Drosophila melanogaster: one gene and its partners. The protein of the gene in region 1 interacts with the protein of each later gene in a pairwise test. Each region holds a gene or a part of one and is shown in the gene's direction. Other genes may lie near its edges.

What was found. Proteins that work in one complex are often made in the same cells at the same time.
Region 2: the proteins of Prosbeta4 (region 1) and Cpr11A interact in a two-hybrid assay, tested with the Drosophila melanogaster proteins (one large-scale study listed by BioGRID).
Region 3: the proteins of Prosbeta4 (region 1) and Inx3 interact in a two-hybrid assay, tested with the Drosophila melanogaster proteins (one large-scale study listed by BioGRID).

The regions. Positions count from the first base shown.
Region 1 is NT_033779.5:16,729,827-16,734,337, reverse strand, and holds Prosbeta4 (proteasome beta4 subunit), read left to right. Parts: upstream 1-2,204; 5' UTR 2,205-2,304; coding exon 2,305-2,395; intron 2,396-2,469; coding exon 2,470-2,695; intron 2,696-2,760; coding exon 2,761-3,049; 3' UTR 3,050-3,158; downstream 3,159-4,511. Other genes in the region: glu (gluon), read left to right, coding at 1-2, 71-541; Nubp1 (NUBP iron-sulfur cluster assembly factor 1), read right to left, coding at 771-1,706; CG17996 (uncharacterized protein), read left to right, coding at 3,378-3,429, 3,483-3,787; Tsen2 (tRNA splicing endonuclease subunit 2), read right to left, coding at 3,805-4,067, 4,122-4,511.
Region 2 is NC_004354.4:12,484,954-12,490,738, forward strand, and holds Cpr11A (cuticular protein 11A), read left to right. Parts: upstream 1-2,016; 5' UTR 2,017-2,128; coding exon 2,129-2,140; intron 2,141-2,873; coding exon 2,874-3,088; intron 3,089-3,363; coding exon 3,364-3,543; intron 3,544-3,688; coding exon 3,689-4,094; 3' UTR 4,095-4,495; downstream 4,496-5,785. Other genes in the region: Lsp1alpha (larval serum protein 1 alpha), read left to right, coding at 5,430-5,639, 5,707-5,785.
Region 3 is NT_033777.3:28,852,425-28,861,482, reverse strand, and holds Inx3 (innexin 3), read left to right. Parts: upstream 1-2,268; 5' UTR 2,269-2,327; intron 2,328-4,143; 5' UTR 4,144-4,177; coding exon 4,178-4,340; intron 4,341-5,541; coding exon 5,542-5,750; intron 5,751-6,076; coding exon 6,077-6,537; intron 6,538-6,599; coding exon 6,600-6,753; intron 6,754-6,821; coding exon 6,822-7,022; 3' UTR 7,023-7,877; downstream 7,878-9,058. Other genes in the region: spg (sponge), read right to left, coding at 8,153-8,301, 8,363-8,604. UniProt on the Drosophila melanogaster protein: Structural components of the gap junctions. Essential for proper epithelial development of the epidermis.

The DNA.
Region 1 (4,511 bases):
AGGTAAATACCTCTCTGCTTTCTTGCCTTACATTCACATTTTAAAGCCAATTGTTGTTGTGTTCACTTAGGAACGTACGAAAAACGCTCAGTTCATAATTGTTTCACTTCGTGTCAACATGTTTGAGCTGGCCAACTTCCTGGTGGGCATATACAAGGTCAGCGATTGTACGGACTCCATCACTATGCTGAACTATCCGCCTACGCTGCCCACTCAGTCGCCAGTGGTCGCTAACAGCCAGTACGTGGGTGGAACAATTGAGGGGGATAACACGATAGCTGCCGAGAACCAAGACGATACCCCCACGAAGAAGAGCCAATCGCCGCCGTCAGAGCAAATAGTCCGCTTGATTAGTGAGTTGGGGAGGGATACCACATTTGCGCCGCCCTTGGAAAGTACGGTGAGGGACACAATACTCGCGCAAAATCTGAAACAGGCCGCCACTGAGGTTGCTGCTCAACCGTCAGATGCCACGGGAAGAGTAACCACGGATGTGTCCCTAGCAAGCCCGCCATCTTCCCCAGCCATACTTAATGTTTAACTCCAACCTACTTCAATATTGTAGAATGTTTTCTTATCCTGTAAAGGGGCATGTTGTAAACTGCCTGGTAATCTAATTTCTGGTAAAGACCGAGACGTAATTTGATGACCTCAGGTGAATCGGTATTTCCAATTGGTATTATCCTTTCAATGCTTAATAATAAATGTTACATAAAATTGTACAGGCATCTTTTTTTTTATTTAAAAACTGAGTGGTCTTTAACTTATTCTTAACTAAAGCTGGCCATAATCTTTGAGCAAATTCCTTCCAGCGCCTCAGTGGTGACATTCTTAAACTCAGTTAAATCCTCGCCAGAATCGCAGGCTTTGGATATCTGTTGATCCAGAGGCAGGGAGCCCAACAGCGGGATTCCCATTTCGGCGCACATGGCAGCGGCTCCTCCGGTTTTGGCTGGAAAGATTTCGGAGCTATTTCCACAATGGCCGCAACGGAAACTGCTCATATTCTCGATCACGCCCACAATGGGGATATTTTGCTTTTTACAAAAGTTGATCTCCTTGCGCACGTCCAGCAGAGACACCTCCTGTGGAGTGGTCACCATCACGGCGCGCAGGGACTCCGGGTTGGCGTCGTCTTTCAGGTACGAAACCACAGACAGGTGCTCATCGGAAGTTCCAGGTGGTGTGTCCAGTAGCAGGAGATCCAGATTTCCCCAGTCCACCTCGCTCAGAAACTGCCTGATCATGCCATTCTTCTTGGGTCCTCGCCAAATAATGGCATCGTCCACAGAGCCCAGAAGAAATCCGATGGACATCAGACACACGTTGTCTTCGATTCCCACAGGTGACCAGCCGTACCCAGACTGGTGGACACTCTCCCCCAGGGCGCCCATCAAACGCGGTTGCGATGGACCGCAAATGTCGATATCAAGCACGCCGAAGTTACTGTCCGGATTACTTCTGGCCAGATAGCGGGTTAGCAAGCTGGTTACCGTGCTCTTGCCAACGCCGCCTTTCCCGGACAGGATCAGCAGCTTGTGTTTGACATCTTTCATGGATTCGACCACCAAAGCCTTGCCGGGATCTTCGAGTTTCTTGTTGGGATCGCTGCAGAGTCCTTGGTTGGGGCAGCCCGAACAGGCACTTCCCTTGCCCGCCTCCTCGCTCTCGACGCCAGGACAGTGTTCCGGAGGTGGTGCCTGCATGGCTCTTAGTTTCAATAGTTCGAATTCCGTAAACTAATTGTGAAATGAAATGATAACAAGGGAACAGTGTGGCCAAGTTATAACCGGGCACTCAACAAGTGTTGATTAACTGCGATTAAAATTAAAAATAATATATAACTAAGATATTCAATTTTATTAATAATTTAATTTATAATTATAATTTATATAACATAATTTTTATGTATATGTAAATATTCATATTCATATTAAAGGAAACAAAAATGGGTTTATTAAAAATAAAGTTTTTTTTTATTTAGACAAAGTTGAAACATTGAAATAATTTTAATTTTAATTTTAGTAAGCAAGTAAACTTATAAGATTTGAATATCATACCAATTAGGTATAATTGAAAATTAAGTATAATTAAGTTAATTTAAAATGATAAATAATAAATATAAAATAAAATTATAAATATGTGTTAGCTTATATTTATTAGTATCTTTTCAGAATAGCGGTATTTTTAGCCGCCCAGCATACGGCCACTCTGCATTTAACTTGCTTGTCATCGCATTCGGCAACTCACAAACAACTTGTAATTTTCGTTAAAAAACCCCGAAAGTATAAATATAATTGCAACATGGAGACTCTACTGGGTATCAAGGGCCCTGACTTCGTGATGCTGGCGGCGGACACCACCCACGCCCGATCCATTATAGTGATGAAAGAGGGTAAGCCCAAATGGTGCTCATTTTCTTGGCGGCTTGGGACTCATTTCGTTAGTCTCCTTGAATTTCCATTGCAGATCAGAACAAAATCCACAAGGTGTCGGATAGTCTGCTTATTTCAACCGTCGGCGAATCGGGCGACACGGAGCAATTTACCGAATTCATTTCGAAGAACATAGCGTTGTACAAGATGCGCAATGGCTACGATTTAAGTCCACGTGAATCGGCTCATTTTACTCGCAAGAATCTGGCCGAATATCTTCGCAGTCGCACGCCCTACCAAGTGTTCATGTTTGTGGCCGGGTAAGGATCATGAGATCAGTCAATCCATTTGCTTTCCGTGCCTAATCTGTTTCTTCTCCCCAAAGCTACGATCCCAACGCGGGTCCGGAGCTCACCTTCATTGACTATTTGGCCAATGCACTGCCTGTGAATTACGCCGGTCATGGCTATGGTGCGATCTTCGCATCCAGCATCTATGACCGATACTGGCACCCCAATATAACCCAGGCGGAGGCCTACGACGTCTTCAAGAAGTGCATTGCCGAAATCCAGAAGCGCCTGGTCGTCAACCTCAAGAACTTCACCGTCGCCGTCGTGGACAAGGATGGTGTGCGAGATTTGGAGCCAATCAGCGCTGCTAGCCTGGCCGCTTAGTTAGGTTTTGATTTAAGCATTTAAAATGCAGTTTTGTAATAAAATGCGTCTGGATTCTTGGCTAATTTAATACACGAAGGTGGTTTATCGGTTTAAAAAAAAATATATTATTGAATTAGCGATCAGTCGGGCAAATTTTGTGTTCTAGACGATCATTAAGTAATTTCAATATTCAAGAAATCGAATTATAAAATTATATTTTATATCTTAAAAATGAATCTAATTTTAGTATACTCGTGGTATTTTTATATCCCTAGTATTTTTCATCGCACCGGTGGCAGTCACTCTAAAAGTTGTTATACAAAATAAATAGTATTTTTAACACAATATGAGCCTTGAACAACAGCCAGCCGTGGATCCCCACAATCCCCATGGACTGGGTGAGTCCTCAGAATAATCGAATATGACCACCAACTGACACTGCCCTTGCTAGGCGATCCAAATGATACTAGGTTGCGCAAGGTGGAGCGCGAAGTGCTGATACCCAAGATAATGCGCGATCGTGCCAAGACGGAGTTCTGCTCAAAGGAGGTGGCCGACTTCCAGGAGTGCTGCAAGGCCAGCAGTATACTGATGGTGGCCACCTGTCGGAAACAGAACTCAGCCCTGAAGGAATGCCTCACCCAGTGGTATCAGAACGAAGCCTTCAAGGAGGAGTGCAAGCAGATATATCTGCAGGAGCGCGCCGACTATCGCAGCACTGGCATACCCAAGAAGCACCGGCTGGAGAAGTTGTAGAGTCCCTGAGTAGTTCCTTATTGTTGTTTGCTTTGTACAAAAGTTAAGTAATTAAAACGCCGCACAATAGTCTCTGTTACTGTGGCTTCCTGCAAATCCCTGGAAGAGCTTATCTTCTTAGGCGGTTGGACAGTCAGGAGCAGCACATCCTTATCAGAAGTTTCTGCCACGCGTTGAACACCCTTCAAGTTCTTTGATTGATAGTGATCCGTATCACCAGGCTTTTGCACAATGACCAAAAAGCTGGCATGGTACAATCGAGGACTTTGCTTGTAGATAACTAAAAAAGGAAAGTTAGTATATATATTTCGCAGCTCTTCAGTTAAGAACTTACGAAAATCACCGCCGAACTTAATACCGCTCTTGATGACCCAATTCTTGGACTTCAAATACACATAGCTGGCCAAGTTCTCAACAAATTTCTCATTGTGCTCTTTGGCGACCTCCACAAACATGCAGAAGTCCATTAAATAACCAGCTGAGTTGGTTATATCTAAAACATTTAAATAGTGGGCCAGGAAGCAAGACTCTTCCATTCCGAGAAACAGGGTTTCGTTCTCGTCTCCACTTGCTGGTCCTCCGCGAGATTTGCTTCCCTTGCCAAAACAACCATTATCGTGCAGGGATTTAGCCTGTTCGGGATCAACTATCTCGACGGATAGTCCTGTAAATCTTCCCTTGTAACGTTCGCCATCCTGTCCACTTGGAAGAGGCGTGAAATTCG
Region 2 (5,785 bases), on another chromosome or scaffold:
AGATCAAAAGACAAGACTCTGGGGCGTGTGCAAGTATGCATAACAAATGCGATTTGATATCAAAGACACGGACGAAATAGCAGACATCAAACATCAGAAACACCAGGTTAATTTCCAAGGCGAACTCAGTTGGTTGAGCCAGACGAACTAACTAACTAACAGCCATCACACATTTGACAAGTCGCTGAAATGGCCAAAACGTTTTCATTAGGCCAAGAAGATCAAACAACCAACCAGAAGAAGAATTAAATGGCCAAAAAAAAAAGAGATACTTCTTTTCGAATGAAAAATGAATGCCGTGCGGCATTCGTTTAAGTTATTAAGCATAAAACTTAAATTAGAAGCACCATTAGCGATTATCATTAGAGCTGCGTGTCCGGTCCGGTTTGATTTCAATCTCATCCACGCGTTGGGTAGACAAAATGTGATAGACTTGATTGCTGACAGCCATAAATGCAGTGTTCAATCAAAATATGTTTGCAAAACCCGCCAATCCAGGAATAAATGTATAATATCTATAAGTTGGCCAAAAAATAGTTCAAAAATAATAGATATATATATGTTCAAATGCAAGCCAGGTTTAGCAAACAGAAAATCGAAAGAATATGTCTATAATATTAACATTTTAAAATATACAATATTTTCGTTATACCTTGAATTTTGGGTGTATATGTGTGTCATTGTATTTTTCAAAACAGTTTGATAAGCCATATTGTCATATATCAGGATTTGTATAAACTGTTTACTTTTAGAGCTCTAAAATTGGCAAAAAGGAAATAAATATTAATTAATCGAGAACTAGTTTAAAAAAAGGTAAATTTTGAACATTACATTTTTATGGGGCCTTAAAAATGGAATATGAATAACTATCTTAAGATAACTAGAATTCAAGGCAAGCGCTCTGAGAACCCAATACAAACATGAACCATCAATCAAATAACAATAATGCAATTTACAAGTAAATTCGGAAGATTTAGAAGACCAAACAAAGAGTTTCATAAATGGAGCCATTAGTGTAACCAATAACTATGCAAATGATGGAAATACAAAACGCTGAAAAGCTACCGAAAGCGAAAATCCGATGACCCTGTGCGGTCCGAAATGGTTAAATGGCATTTTTGAGCCCAAGATCTCACGATCTCTTAAGAAGATCCCAAGACACCAAGCACCGAAGACACCAAGACAGACACTGATCCGCCAGAAGAATCGCATTTGATAAATTTTGATAAGACCGAAAACGAAACGGCTAATTAAGCGAAGGCTGACTGATATGCATATTAGCATATGAAACCGAAGAATGAGAATGGGGCATCTTATCAGTGGTGAAGAATCATCATCGCCTCTTTCCGCTGAAGAAACGGATGAAAGATTTGCGGGTTCCATTCAGCGGCACTTTCGGAACTTGGAACTTGGGTGTCCGCTAAAATAAACTGGTCGCCCAAGTTAGTATAGTATATATATAGTTAGTATATATATATATATATATATATTCCATGCTTTATAAAAAATTAACGCAGATTTAAATTTACGCACATGCACACACTCACACAGACACACACACCACACACACACACACACACTCAGGGAAGAGAATCATCATTAAACGTGTATGCTAATTTGATGATGGCGGTTTTCTAATTTTGTTGCCACGAAAACCAGATTTCTATGCTTTTCGATCTGCGATCAGTCTCCGTCAGCAACGGAGATACCGAGAAGGGAGAATTGTCCAGAAGACCCGTAAAATGTTACATCTTCTGGATGCTGAAGATTCACCGATGGATGATGCCCCTCATCTGGGCTAATCCCCTTCCTCACACACATACACACACATATATATATATATATATATATGCATATATACCATACCGATTTCAGCGTTGACAAACTTTGGCTTTTTTTGATTCTAAGCGGCTGCGACGCCGACAGAGGCTCAGTTCGTTGTCCGGTTCCTATTTCTGTCGACTTCGCTGCCGGCGTCGCTGATAATACCATATATAAGGAAACAAGAAGTCGCATCGTTTGTATTTATTTGCTAGAATCTGTGAGCATCGGAACTAACCGAGCCGCTACAATAAAAAAAAAAAAACATAAATTAGTCCTCGTTACGAAAAAAAAAACACACATAAAAATGAAGAGTTTTGTAAGTGCCCGAAAGTACTGAAAAGTATATATTTAATGAGTTATTTTTTTTTTTGTGGTGTCTCAATAAAAAAAAGGATCAAGTGAAAGTGCGCGCAAAAAATGTCCTTCAAAAGTGTGAATACTTTTAAGCCACAGAAATGACTTTAAAGCTTATTTTGAATCTCAAACAAAAGATACACATTAAAATCAATTTAACCGAAGTTCCTGCGAGGCTGCTTTTTAGTTTTTTTTAAGCTTTACCTAAGAATTAGTATGCCAAATTAAAGAACTAATGACCCACACTTTAAGGAAAGTCCGAAACCTAAAGTGTTTGAATATCACCTTGAGCAGCCGCATAGCTCATCGACGTCAAAACAGACGAATGACAAATATCGAAACGGTTGGAACCCATTATGATTAGTGCCTCGGCCCGAAACCAAATCAAATAAATCACAGCAAATATAGATAAAAAAAATTAAAAAGACTAAAAAAAAAACGAAAAAAAAAATAAATAAACGAGAGAATTGCGAGACAAAGCGACGCTGTGCGGTCAGAAACGCCAGCGATTCGCGCGCGACTTTGATTAATTGCCCGTTAATGCGAAATGCAAAATACGAATCCCAATTCAAATCCAAATCAAAATCCGTATCCAAATCCGAATGCGAAAAAAATAAATCGTAACGACTGTGATCCACAGATATGACTAATGCATCGTGTGACAAGTGGCACTAACCAGGCATTCTATCTTTTAGCTGATCCTTCTGGGTTTCGCTGCTCTGGCCGCTGCCGATGTCAAGCATCTGACAGATCGCAATCTGGACCTCTTCAAGTACAATCCCAGCGATATCTACACCCTGCCCGAGGACATCGATGACGACAAGCCGGCGGTGCACTTTAGCGGCGATGTCATGAAGGCCAAGACCGAAACCCTCCAGAACTACAACTCGGGCAAGAAATTCAAGCTGGAGTGAGTATCTATGGTACCTATATAGTTCATAAAGTGATAGTGTTTGGCTAAATTAAAACATAATTATATATTTATATATGAAGTTGAATCGCAGTCTAAAAGAAAACTACTTTAACATAGGTTTATAGATCTGTAATAACTTTTGATGCATAGCAAATAAATTCAAGTAATTTGATATATTTTTTTAAATAATTTACAAAGCATCAAGTAATTTGATATATTTTTTTAAATAATTTACGAAGCATTACTAAAGTTAAAATGAACTTTTTTTTCAGACTGAAGACCCAGAACGGCATCGAAGTGAGCAGCGTGGGCAAACTGAAGGACGACAAGACCTTCGTGGTCAGCGGCTCCTACTCGTTCACCGGCGCCGATGGCAAGCGGTACAAGACCCGTTACACCGCCGATGAGTTCGGCTATCATCCCATCACCGAGCTGGATCTGGACATTCCCGAGTGAGTAACCAATACACTTTACAAAAAAAACGTTTAAGAACTTCTTCAAACTAGCACATTTGCGTACAAATCAGAAGTTTCATACACTATTATTGCAAATGATATAATGAATATAAAAAACTTATTTTATATTTATATATTTTAGACCCCAGCCTTTGGCTTCTGCCGGACAGCGCCAGACCGTGGATCCCAGCAGCCTGTTGGGCAACAAGAACCGTTTCCAGTTCCTGCAGCAGACCCTGGACTCCGATCAAGGATCGCAAGGTCCTCTGAGGGGCAGTGGACAGAGTGGCGATGACTATAGCTACACGTCTCCCTATGGAAATGGCAATGCTTACGGTAATGGAGTTGGAAACGGATACGGAAATGGAGTTGGCAACGGATACGGAAATGGAGTTGGAAACGGACAAGGAAATGGAGCTGGAAACGCATACGGAAATGGAAATGGAGTTGGAAACGGATACGGAAATGGCAACGGCAATGGCTACGATTATCAGCCACCTCAGGTGCCCCTGGCGACGCCATCTCGTCTGTATCTGCCCACCGCATAAGGCGATTATTATTTAGATATACCCTTATCCAACACCCTTCTCCCGCAAGATTTATGCCCCACCCGATTCCCGATTCCTGATTCCCGATTCCCGATTCCCGATCCTCGATTTTCCCCCCAGCTGCAAGTATTTAGTTTTTAAGTGCAACTCCAACAGGCAAATGAAGAGTAAAACAGAGCTAGCGAAATTTTTTTTTATCATTTTTTAGTGTTATACACGGAGCACAATTTTATATGATATTATACACTGATATATGTTATATATCTAGCCTACACAAAAACACGCACACACACACACAAAAAAAACAAACACACACACAAATCCCGAGCAAAGACACAAACGAATCTATGTATATACACTGAGTGATATTAGTAGTAAATAAAATGGCTAAACTAACGATCAAAGTTTTAATGTGTTTTAATTGAGGAATAATATGGATGGGGATATTTATATATATATTTTGGCTTTGTAATAAAATGTTATTGCAAGCAATTGTTGAAATTTTATTCAGCATCGTTACAAAAAAAAATTCGTTGTTTCAGAATAAAGTTAAGTTTTATTAACTGAAAATGAATAGTTTGTTTACTGTTTTATAAGCATGGCATATACAATTTTCCAACTTAGATACAGAATCTATTATTACAGATTATGATTTTGTTCGAATGCCTAAAAGCATGCAACAAACGTATGAAATTCATCTGCATCTACATATAAATATATAAATTAAAGCGATATTTAATGACTTCTAGTTAAGGCTCTTAGCAGCAGACAAGTTTGCTTGATAAATTCGTTATGTATATGGAATTTAAAACTTTTTTAAAAACGGAATAGAGTGGTAGCCAAATGGTCAAAGTTATGACATTGCTCATACGCCACGTTGTACACACTTTTCTCAAAATAATGCCTGCCAATGCTTAACTTTAGTTCGTAATATGTATATGATTGGTAATATCTCTATATTATATACATATAAATAATTAAAATTCAAAGCGATTGAAACTTGTGCAGAAATTGCAGACAAAGAACCGAATCTAACGCTATTTTTGGAATGCAAATCTGGACTCGATATGTAGGGACCAACGTAGGCTGTCCAGAGATAAGCTGTTGCGGTGCAGTAGCAACAGATGTTCGTGGCGAGCACCTGAGATACACCCGATGATCCCTGATCCCGTCGTCACAGATATGTTATTTCCGATTACCGCGGGAATCTGTGGCTATATAAGCAGACCCGTGGGCGTCGGTAAGGCAACAGTCTTTAGGCATTGGATCCATCAAGTGCATCCGATCCGGAGCAGTTAAAGTTGAGTGTTTCGAACAAAAGAAGGAGTTTCCAGGATGAAGTTTGCCATCGCATTCCTGGCTTGTGTGGCCGTGGTCACTGCGACCGCTTACCACAAGACCCACGACATCAAGGTCGCTGACAAGGCGTTCCTGATGAAGCAGAAGTTCCTCTTCGAGATCGTCTACCGCGTGGAGGATCCGCTGATGTTCGAAGAGTACATTGCGATGGGAAAGCAGTTCTATTTCGACAAGGAGCACTACACGGTAAGTGGGAGAAGAAAGCGGATTCCGAGTGGTCAGTACCACAAAATGCACCTTCAATTCTTCGCAGCACTTCGATCTGTACATGGAGAAGTTCTTCGAGGCCCACAAGGCACACGCTTTGCTGCCCAAGGGCGAGTTCTTTGGCG
Region 3 (9,058 bases), on another chromosome or scaffold:
GAGAGAGAGAGAGAGAGAGAGAGAGGGATTCCCAGAGAGATTCTCCATTTTGGAACCGGAACCAGTAGAGAAGCAATGGTGCTATGGTAGAGACCTCGGAGAACAAGATCTATGGGTATCGGTCTCTGGGGAATGGTATGTTTGGTTCTCTGGCCATATAGAGATATATAGGTTTGTGTGGGGTTCGAGCCACCTCTGTTACGCCGGGAGCCGTGGCTCTGAGTTGACGTGACCAAATGAAGCACTGCGACTCGAAAATGTATCTCATGGATACGAATATGAGAGGAGCGCGTGCGCGGCTGCGTGGACCCGCAAAAATACAAACGGTAGCCCTGCTGGTAATGAACACTTTAAGTCGCTTTTAATTAAGTGCCTGACCCAAAGCTCAACAGGTGAAGGTAAAGGGAAGCAGCCAAATGTATTACCCAAAAATGCCAACCGCTGCTTTGCTTATCTGAACAAATTATTTTTTAATTAAGCCTCGCCTAAAGTGTTGGAAATCTATGAAGATATGACACAACAAAAAAAAAAAGGCTGAGGAGAAACGAGAAGACACAACAAGATGGAGAACCAGACGATACAGAAAAATTTAATTATTTACACTTCGATAAGCAGGGCTGTCAACCACAAACAAAAGCAATAGCGACAACGCGTTCGATGGCATTGTATCTATGGGTTTGGTCTCACCAGCGGCCCAGATACACGGCGTATCACAATCACACATGCCATATATTTCGTATTTAATGTCTTTATAAAAGGTGTAGCTGGCAGATACATTTCTGGCGAGAGGCGACAGGCCACAGGCAAGAGGCCAGGCCAGGGAGCATTGGGATAAGGGCATGGTAACCCGGCATCGGGAACCCTCAATAAACAAACAGTGCAACGCGCAGGGAGGCGAAGTGGAGCGCAGTGGTTCAGGACATGGAAACAGCAGCACCACCAGCAGCAGCAGCCATTTCGAAATGCCATTTCATTATGGCCAAGACCAAAGAACGCGGCGGGCCAAAGCCACCGAGCTGAGTCATTCCATCGGGCCAAGGAGTTGCAGGTTTCGGACTTGGAACTTGAAACTCGAAGGGGGGAGAATTTGGAGCCCAGATCCCAGGGAAATGGGAGGAATGCCTGGCAACAAGTTTGGCGTTGCTTGTCTAGCTCTCAGCATGCAAATGGATCTTCATTTCGGAACCCTATACACTGAGATCGCATCTGTGTGCGATCGGCCACGACGTGTATATGGGCCTGGAATATGACGACGAATAGTTCCTTAGACCCACTTGGCGGACCCTTCAGAGCGGCGTCTGTGCTGTCAGAGGACTCGCTGGATGTGGAAACAGCGATAAATTAAACGAACAGGCAGCTCCAAGTTCCGAGGAATTAATTGGAATGCACTTGGGGTCCACCTCATTAATTTTACTTACTTGAGTTTGGATTCGAGGTCCTATTAATTTAGAGGTGATTGATAGAAGGATAAATAATTGCATGGGCTAGCGATTGCATAAGAACTAAAAGTACGTATTATAGACTTCAAGTTTTCCAGTGCAGTATTGTTAAAGTTTAATAAACTTGTAGTACTAAATTCAATAAAAAGACTTTAAAATGCAATAAATTTTAAAATTGAATACTATACGTAATAAAATCACTTAAATAAGGAGAGAGACTTTGAGCAAACTCTTAGTACATCTACAGTTTTGTTTTCTTGAACTCTGCCCAAGTCTTAAATATATCTTTTGTTCTTAAACTCTTTTATTGGATGTTCCAGTTGTGGCCCATTGTGTTCCTAAATCTTTGTTTGCCCTTCGTCGACTTGAACTGCGACTGTTTAAGCTACCCTAACATACTCTAAAACCCAAATCTAGCTGATTAAGTTGTACGTCCCCCCTTCATCCAGAGACCAAACTAATCAATGGATTTACAGATTTCAAATCCAGATGTTATTGGGCCTCGTTCAAGTCGGTTCAAGATCGAGGGAAAATCTGAGAATCAAGCCATTTGAGCGAGAACTACCTAAGCGACCTGAGGTGGTTGGGTGGGTCCTCTGCACCTCGGCACCAAATACTTCTACAGGTAACAACACCGGGTCTCTCGGCTCAGGTAAGAGGCAATGCGCGAATGCAGCTTGAGCGTATTTACGAACTCGGAGCGGGAACCAGCTGGGATCGCTGGTTCCGCCGGAGAGGGAAAACCACCCAGATCGCAAGAGCGACTCTCTCGCGGCTCGGGAGGCATATATACAATGGATCGTTCTGTTTCGAGCTCGGGGACTTGGTTTTCAGTAGGTTTTTGAACGCCGCTGAGAGCAGCTGCACATTTTCGAGATACGGATACGGGTATGGGCACCATTGACTTGTCTGAAATCACAGCTCAGCACCACTGAGCAACCACCAAGCTGCACGCACACCACCATCGAATGCAGTTGCGAGTGCAATTCCAGCTGAGTCTGTCTGTGTCTGAGTGTATCTGTGTGTTTGTACTTGTGTATAATAGAAATCTCGCATTTGCAACAAAGTTAAAAACAAACAAAAAACAACTAAAAAACCAGCCAGAAATTATAAATACTGGGAGCGAAAACCCGTTTCCGAAGTGTCAAAGTGGCAGCAATAAATTTAAATGCGAGCGGAGAGCTCTGAAAAGCGGAGCTACTTCGACTCCAGCAGGAGCAAAAGAATCACTTAAGTGTGCGAAGGGGTCGTCGCAGTTCGGTTCTGGCCAACTGGCAGGTTGCTGTTGCCAATCTTGGTAGCAACACCTTCAGGAAAAAAGGAGAAAAAAAATGACACACCAAGGAAAACGACACAAAATGAGAGAGAACAGTGGCAACAACCGATCGGATCCGATCGCGACCGCTCAGCTCCGCTCCCAAAAAGAAAATACCTTAAAACCAGTTTCTTTTTTTGTCTTTTTCGAAAAAAAAAAGAGGGAAAAAAGAGTTATTGAAAGAAAAAAGGCCAGAATTGAAGTTGGGCCGAAATGAAGTGCTCTCCGCGTATCTGTGTGAGTGCCGTTCGTGGCGTTGTGTGCGTGGTAAGATTGAATGTTCAGTGCAGAAGCTGATGCATTTAAAAGGAGTAGCTGCCGTTGCGCAGATACAGATACTTTGCGACTTTAATTGCCGCTCGTATGCGTGCGACAGAGACGACTCTATGCGCCCTGCGTGCGGCGCAGTGTTGCTGTGTGCGTTTCGCTCTCGGAGTTACGGATTCCGATTCGGATTCGGAGTTATATACGATGCGATCTGTCGTGCCGAAATGAAATACAGCCAAAACACACACAATAGCCCGAAACACCAAAAAAAAAAAATTTGCATATAAACAAAAGAGCCGAGAAGAAAGCCAAGCAGAACCTGATCCACGGCGAGCCGAAATCCAAAAACCCAACTCGAAACCCAAAAAGCACCGACAAAAGACCAAAAAGTGGGAAAAGAAAACAAAACCCCTTTTGGGCATGGGGACAAAGTGAAATTTATGCGTGGGTTGACAAAAAGCTGTACCGGTTCTGAGAGCCGAGTTCTTGAGATGAACTTGTTCGCTATCTAGTACTTTTGGGGACAGCCCGGGGTTACCAGGCAAGGGCAGGGCATTCAACCTGGACCTGGAGCTTAGCGCAGATTAGATTAGATTGCACAACATACTCGCATTATTCAGTTAGAGAGAGAAATAGCTATGCTCCCGACAAACAATTCCGGCACTGCCCAAGCACTTACCTAATTGTAAGTGCGGCTTGTCGACGATAACGCCGAGAGACCCAGACAACCGATGGAATGGTTCGGTATGCTATATAGTATGGCATGGGAACATGGACTGGTACTGGAGCTCAGATTGGGAGTAGTGGGGAGGAAGTATGGTCGTGTATGGGTGGGTAAAGGGTGGTGAAATAATTTGGAATATGTCATGTCTGTCCTAGATAACGCACAAGGCAAACACACAGAACGCAATCAAGTGTGGCAAAAGAAATGAGGCAGATTGCAATGCACTCCACAATCAAGATAACTTGCTCCCAATCCAATGTCCAATAACAAAAGAAAAGTAAAACAGATTCGAATCAATAAACCGCATTGTTAATAATTGAGCGTAATTAGGAACTCTATGCCCATTTCTCACAGTGTCCCGCTGCTCAACTCGTTAATGCTCTCTTCTCCACTTGCAGTTAGCTTCGTTGCAGCAGCACACCAACCATCAACATGGCGGTCTTTGGCATGGTCTCGGCTGTGTCCGGCTTTATCAAGATACGCTATCTGCTGGACAAGGCGGTCATCGACAACATGGTTTTCCGCTGCCACTACAGGATCACGACGGCCATTCTGTTCACTTGTTGCATCATCGTCACCGCAAACAATCTGATCGGTAAGTTAGCACCTACTGAAAATTAGTGCAGCTATGCAAGTGTTTAGCACTTGAGTAGCCCAGTTTGTCAGTTTGCTTTTGCAATTGCTGCAATGCTGCTAATGCAGCACTAAATTCCAAGAAATACGATTCGACCCATTTGAATTTGAGCTCTTCGGAACGGAGGCATAAACGCGTGCAGAGCTTTCACAAATTGACCGCAACACGTTGATCGGATTTCAGCTAAAGCCATTTATTCGAATGACTCATTCCTCGGTCCCCACGGGTGGTGGTGGTGCTAGCCTGTGCCTCGCCAGAAATTGGCGTGAAAATCAATGTATATGGCTCAAGCTGGGCTCAGTGAATGGTGTCTTACATAATGGTACTTGTTATTAATATGATTTTACATTCCCACGCACTTTTAAGCGAGCTTTGTATTAAACTCGAAGCAATTATCTCTCTTCATTCGAAAAAGGGTGATAAGAAAAAGGCCTTGAATAAACAAATGATTAGCGTTATTAAAAATCAGAACTAGTAGACTAAGCACATTTCCAACAAATGGTTTTTAAACAACAAGGCAATTTAATTATGCTCAATCGTTTTTATTTTTTGTCATTGAAAACTTGCTGACTTTAAAACCCATTTTACGAGATTTTTATCTGATCTAGGCATCGCAAAGCCATCGCAGCTTCAATCCAAATATTTGTACATTAAAAGAAGTGCTCCAAAAGTGAACAACTGACAAAACCACAGTCAAATATTGACGGTTGGTTCTGGGAATTCCCCATCCAGCCCGCTCCACCTTCGTCTGCAGCTCCATTTGTATCCACTTTGTTTATCCAAAAGGGGGAGGAGTTATAGTAGGAACACGGGGGAGTCATAGTGAACGATAAAGTTGGGGCGCACCCAAAAAAAAAAGGCTGTCTATCTGTCCGTCCGTCCGTTCGTCCATCCAGCCGAATGTTGCAGGTTTACCTAGGCACGTCTGCAGCCATAATAAATGTAACCGTAGCATAGTCGTTACCGCACCCACAGCGTCGACAAATTGGGACCGTGGAGCCAGCTCCACCAGACCACCAGAGATTGCCCTAATGGCACTTGACGTTGACGAACGGCTGGCGAGAAGGTTTCTGGCGAGGAATGCGCTTGCGTTTCCCTTGATCTGAATTGCGACGAGGTCGAGTGCATATCTAAAAAATTATCTCTATCTCTGCGCTTGCAGGCGATCCCATAAGTTGCATCAACGACGGCGCCATTCCGATGCACGTAATCAACACCTTCTGCTGGATCACCTACACGTACACGATACCTGGCCAGCAGCATCGGCAAATCGGAACGGACGTGGCTGGTCCGGGATTGGGCAATGAGTACGGCCAGGAGAAGCGCTATCACAGCTACTATCAATGGGTGCCATTCGTGCTATTCTTCCAGGTGAGTGACGCTCGAAGTAATATATGTACGCAGTACTTAGGAAAGATTTACAATTTGAATTGTTTACATCGCTGTGGATTTATTTTGAAATCCATAGGAGTAGTACTTAATTGAATAATTTACCCCACGCTTTCTCAATTTACATGATGATGAGCAATCTTGCAATACGAAAAGTTCCATCTTGTCTGTAGATTAAGTGAACTTAATTGAAGTCTTAGTATGACTGTGGCCTATCACATGCTGTTCGCTTTAAACGTGACAAATGTGGTTTCATTAATTTATTGTAATTCCCGCTTCCGACCAAACTAATCTGTAAATTATTTCAGGGGCTCATGTTCTACGTGCCCCACTGGGTTTGGAAGAACATGGAAGACGGCAAGATCCGCATGATCACCGATGGACTGCGCGGCATGGTCAGTGTGCCGGATGACTATCGGCGTGATCGCCAGGACCGGATCCTCAAGTATTTCGTGAACAGTTTGAACACCCACAACGGCTACTCGTTCGCATACTTTTTCTGCGAACTGCTTAACTTTATCAACGTGATTGTGAATATCTTTATGGTGGATAAGTTTCTGGGCGGTGCTTTCATGTCCTACGGTACGGATGTGCTCAAGTTCTCCAACATGGATCAGGACAAGCGCTTCGATCCGATGATCGAGATCTTTCCCCGGCTCACCAAGTGCACGTTCCACAAGTTCGGTCCCAGTGGATCGGTCCAGAAACACGACACTCTCTGTGTGCTGGCACTGAATATCCTCAACGAGAAGATCTACATCTTCCTGTGGTAAGTAGTTGAGTGGGTTCTTACTCTTTGAGGGAATCTTTAACCTTTATTACTTTTCATAGGTTCTGGTTTATCATCTTGGCCACCATCTCCGGCGTGGCTGTGCTCTATTCACTGGTGGTTATCATGATGCCCACCACTCGGGAGACCATCATCAAGCGTTCTTATCGCTCGGCACAACGGAAGGAAATCGCCGGACTGGTTAGGCGTTTGGAGGTGGGTGCTCAACTAGAATACCATCCATACCTATTGTATATTAATCCGTTTTTGGTTTTTCTCAACAGATTGGTGACTTCCTGATCTTGCACTTCCTGAGCCAGAACCTCAGCACAAGATCGTACAGTGACATGCTGCAGCAGCTCTGCGGTCTGCTAGGAGCATCCCGAACACCATCCGCACCATCGACCCTTGAAATGAACCGCATCAGCCATCCGATTTATCCGCCCGTGGAGACCTTCGGCGGTGGCAAGGAGACGGAGACATGAGCCCGTGGCCAGGGTTTGGCTTCAAAACAATGATTTCAATGATTTCTCAATAATATTTGTAGGGGGGAGATAGAGAGAGTTGTGTGTCATGAGGTTAGGCATTTCCATTTCTACCACTAAGACTGCAAGAGAACGAATCAGCAATTGCACTTTCGGAGATCCAACTCAGTAATGTTCTGTGCGAAATATATTTAGCAAAATTATAAGGAAACAATCTTTGAATATGGTCCTAGGCAGGCGAAAGACAGGTGCAGTTCGTCATTGACACGAGGTGAGCCACAGAGTGAGAAGATACAAATAAAAAATAAATCAAATAAAAATGTGAAAAAAAAAATATCATAAAAAACGAGAGGGACACAGGCAGACCGTGCAATTTGTAGGTTGAAGATGATGATTGAACGACGATCGAGGATATCCCATATAACGATTTTGCTACTTGGTATCGTAGTTAGGTCGTTGACAATGATGCGCCATTTAAAATATACACATAAGTTTAGCAGTTAGCTCGATAGTGGACAGATGGATAGTTCGGATCGAGGAATACCTATGCAGCTATATATCTGCTTACCGCTCACGCACGCTCACGAAACGTTGATCTATATAAAATTGTAGTAATCGAATGGTACGAATACGACGAGGAATATGATTATGAATATTTAAACGAGTATACACAATGCTCTCGCTATTTTTGTCCTAACATTTAGTCTACAGATATATCGTAATTTTAAGCAATTTTGTTTATAACAAAATTATTGTGATTATTGCTAGAAAAGAACACATTTTACATAAAGCAAAAGAGAACCCAAGCTATCTAAGTTCAAAGTTGTAATAAATATTCTACATACAATTTCAGCTAAACCCAGGACTTATCAGTGGGCGGGAAGCGATTGTGGTTTTGGATTTCTCAATTGCTAAGGTCGGATTTTCCATTGTTTATGAAAAAAGCTGTGATTTTGAACTAGAGTACTACGCATTAGTTGAGAGTACTTATAAACAAGGGAAACCTTCAAGAACAACTTTAAGTTTTTTACATGAAACGCGAATCCATGAAAGTCTATCTTCAATAAGCTACGGATGTTTTCATTAGCTTCCAATATCCCTATATCAATATCCAATATCTGATCACTTACCGATTGCCCCAATCTATCTTTGAAACCACAACCATCTGAAGCTCCAGAGTTTGATCCTGAGTCATGGTGGCACTAAGGAGTTCCCTCCGACTTTCCAATATGGAAAACATAACTTTGCGCAGGGTTTGGAACTTATACGCTTCGCGATCCTGAAAAAGATTAGGAATATTTTATCAAATAAAGCAAGTAGATCGAGTTATAACCACTTACCACATAGAGACGCTTCCAGATCTCCGACCATTCGCGCAGGACCTGCGTGCATTCGGCGACCACAGGATCGATTTTCGAGAGGTCCTTGATGTGTATGTAGGTCTTGGGGAAGAGACCCACTGCCCGCGACTTTCGGGGGCAGGAGCCGCGGTACCAGTGCTTGCACTCCTCCACAATGTCCACGGAATCGCCGACATCCAGTGCCAGGCCGAACCGGACATCGCCGTGCCAGTTGTGGATGGCTGTTGGCGAAGAAATGGGAAAATGTGTAAATGAAATTGAGAGCAGGAAAAGCTACAGTCCAAGAAGCGGCTGGATTACAACCAGTTGCGTTACCACTTCTCGGCCATGACATTGCCCCAGGATGGACGGCGTGGCAATTAAAGTGCCCCCCTCGAGTGGCCACTTGAGCATGCCACGAGTGGCCCGGCAACAATAAATACTTCAACTATAAATAGGCAAATGGCTACGAAAGGAAAATACATACATTCGAATGTGTGTATTTTTATGGAGCCTTAGTGTGTATATGGGGGTGTCTCTCTTTGTCTGGAACACGGAACAATGAGCAGCACTTGGCCAAGCCGGCAATCGAACACTTTGGCTCGTGGATGGATTCAGCAAGACCCAAGTGCCAAGGAGCCCACTGCCAAGCGGAGCTCTAACTGGAGCCACATCGCCGGGCTCTGTGAGCTGCTG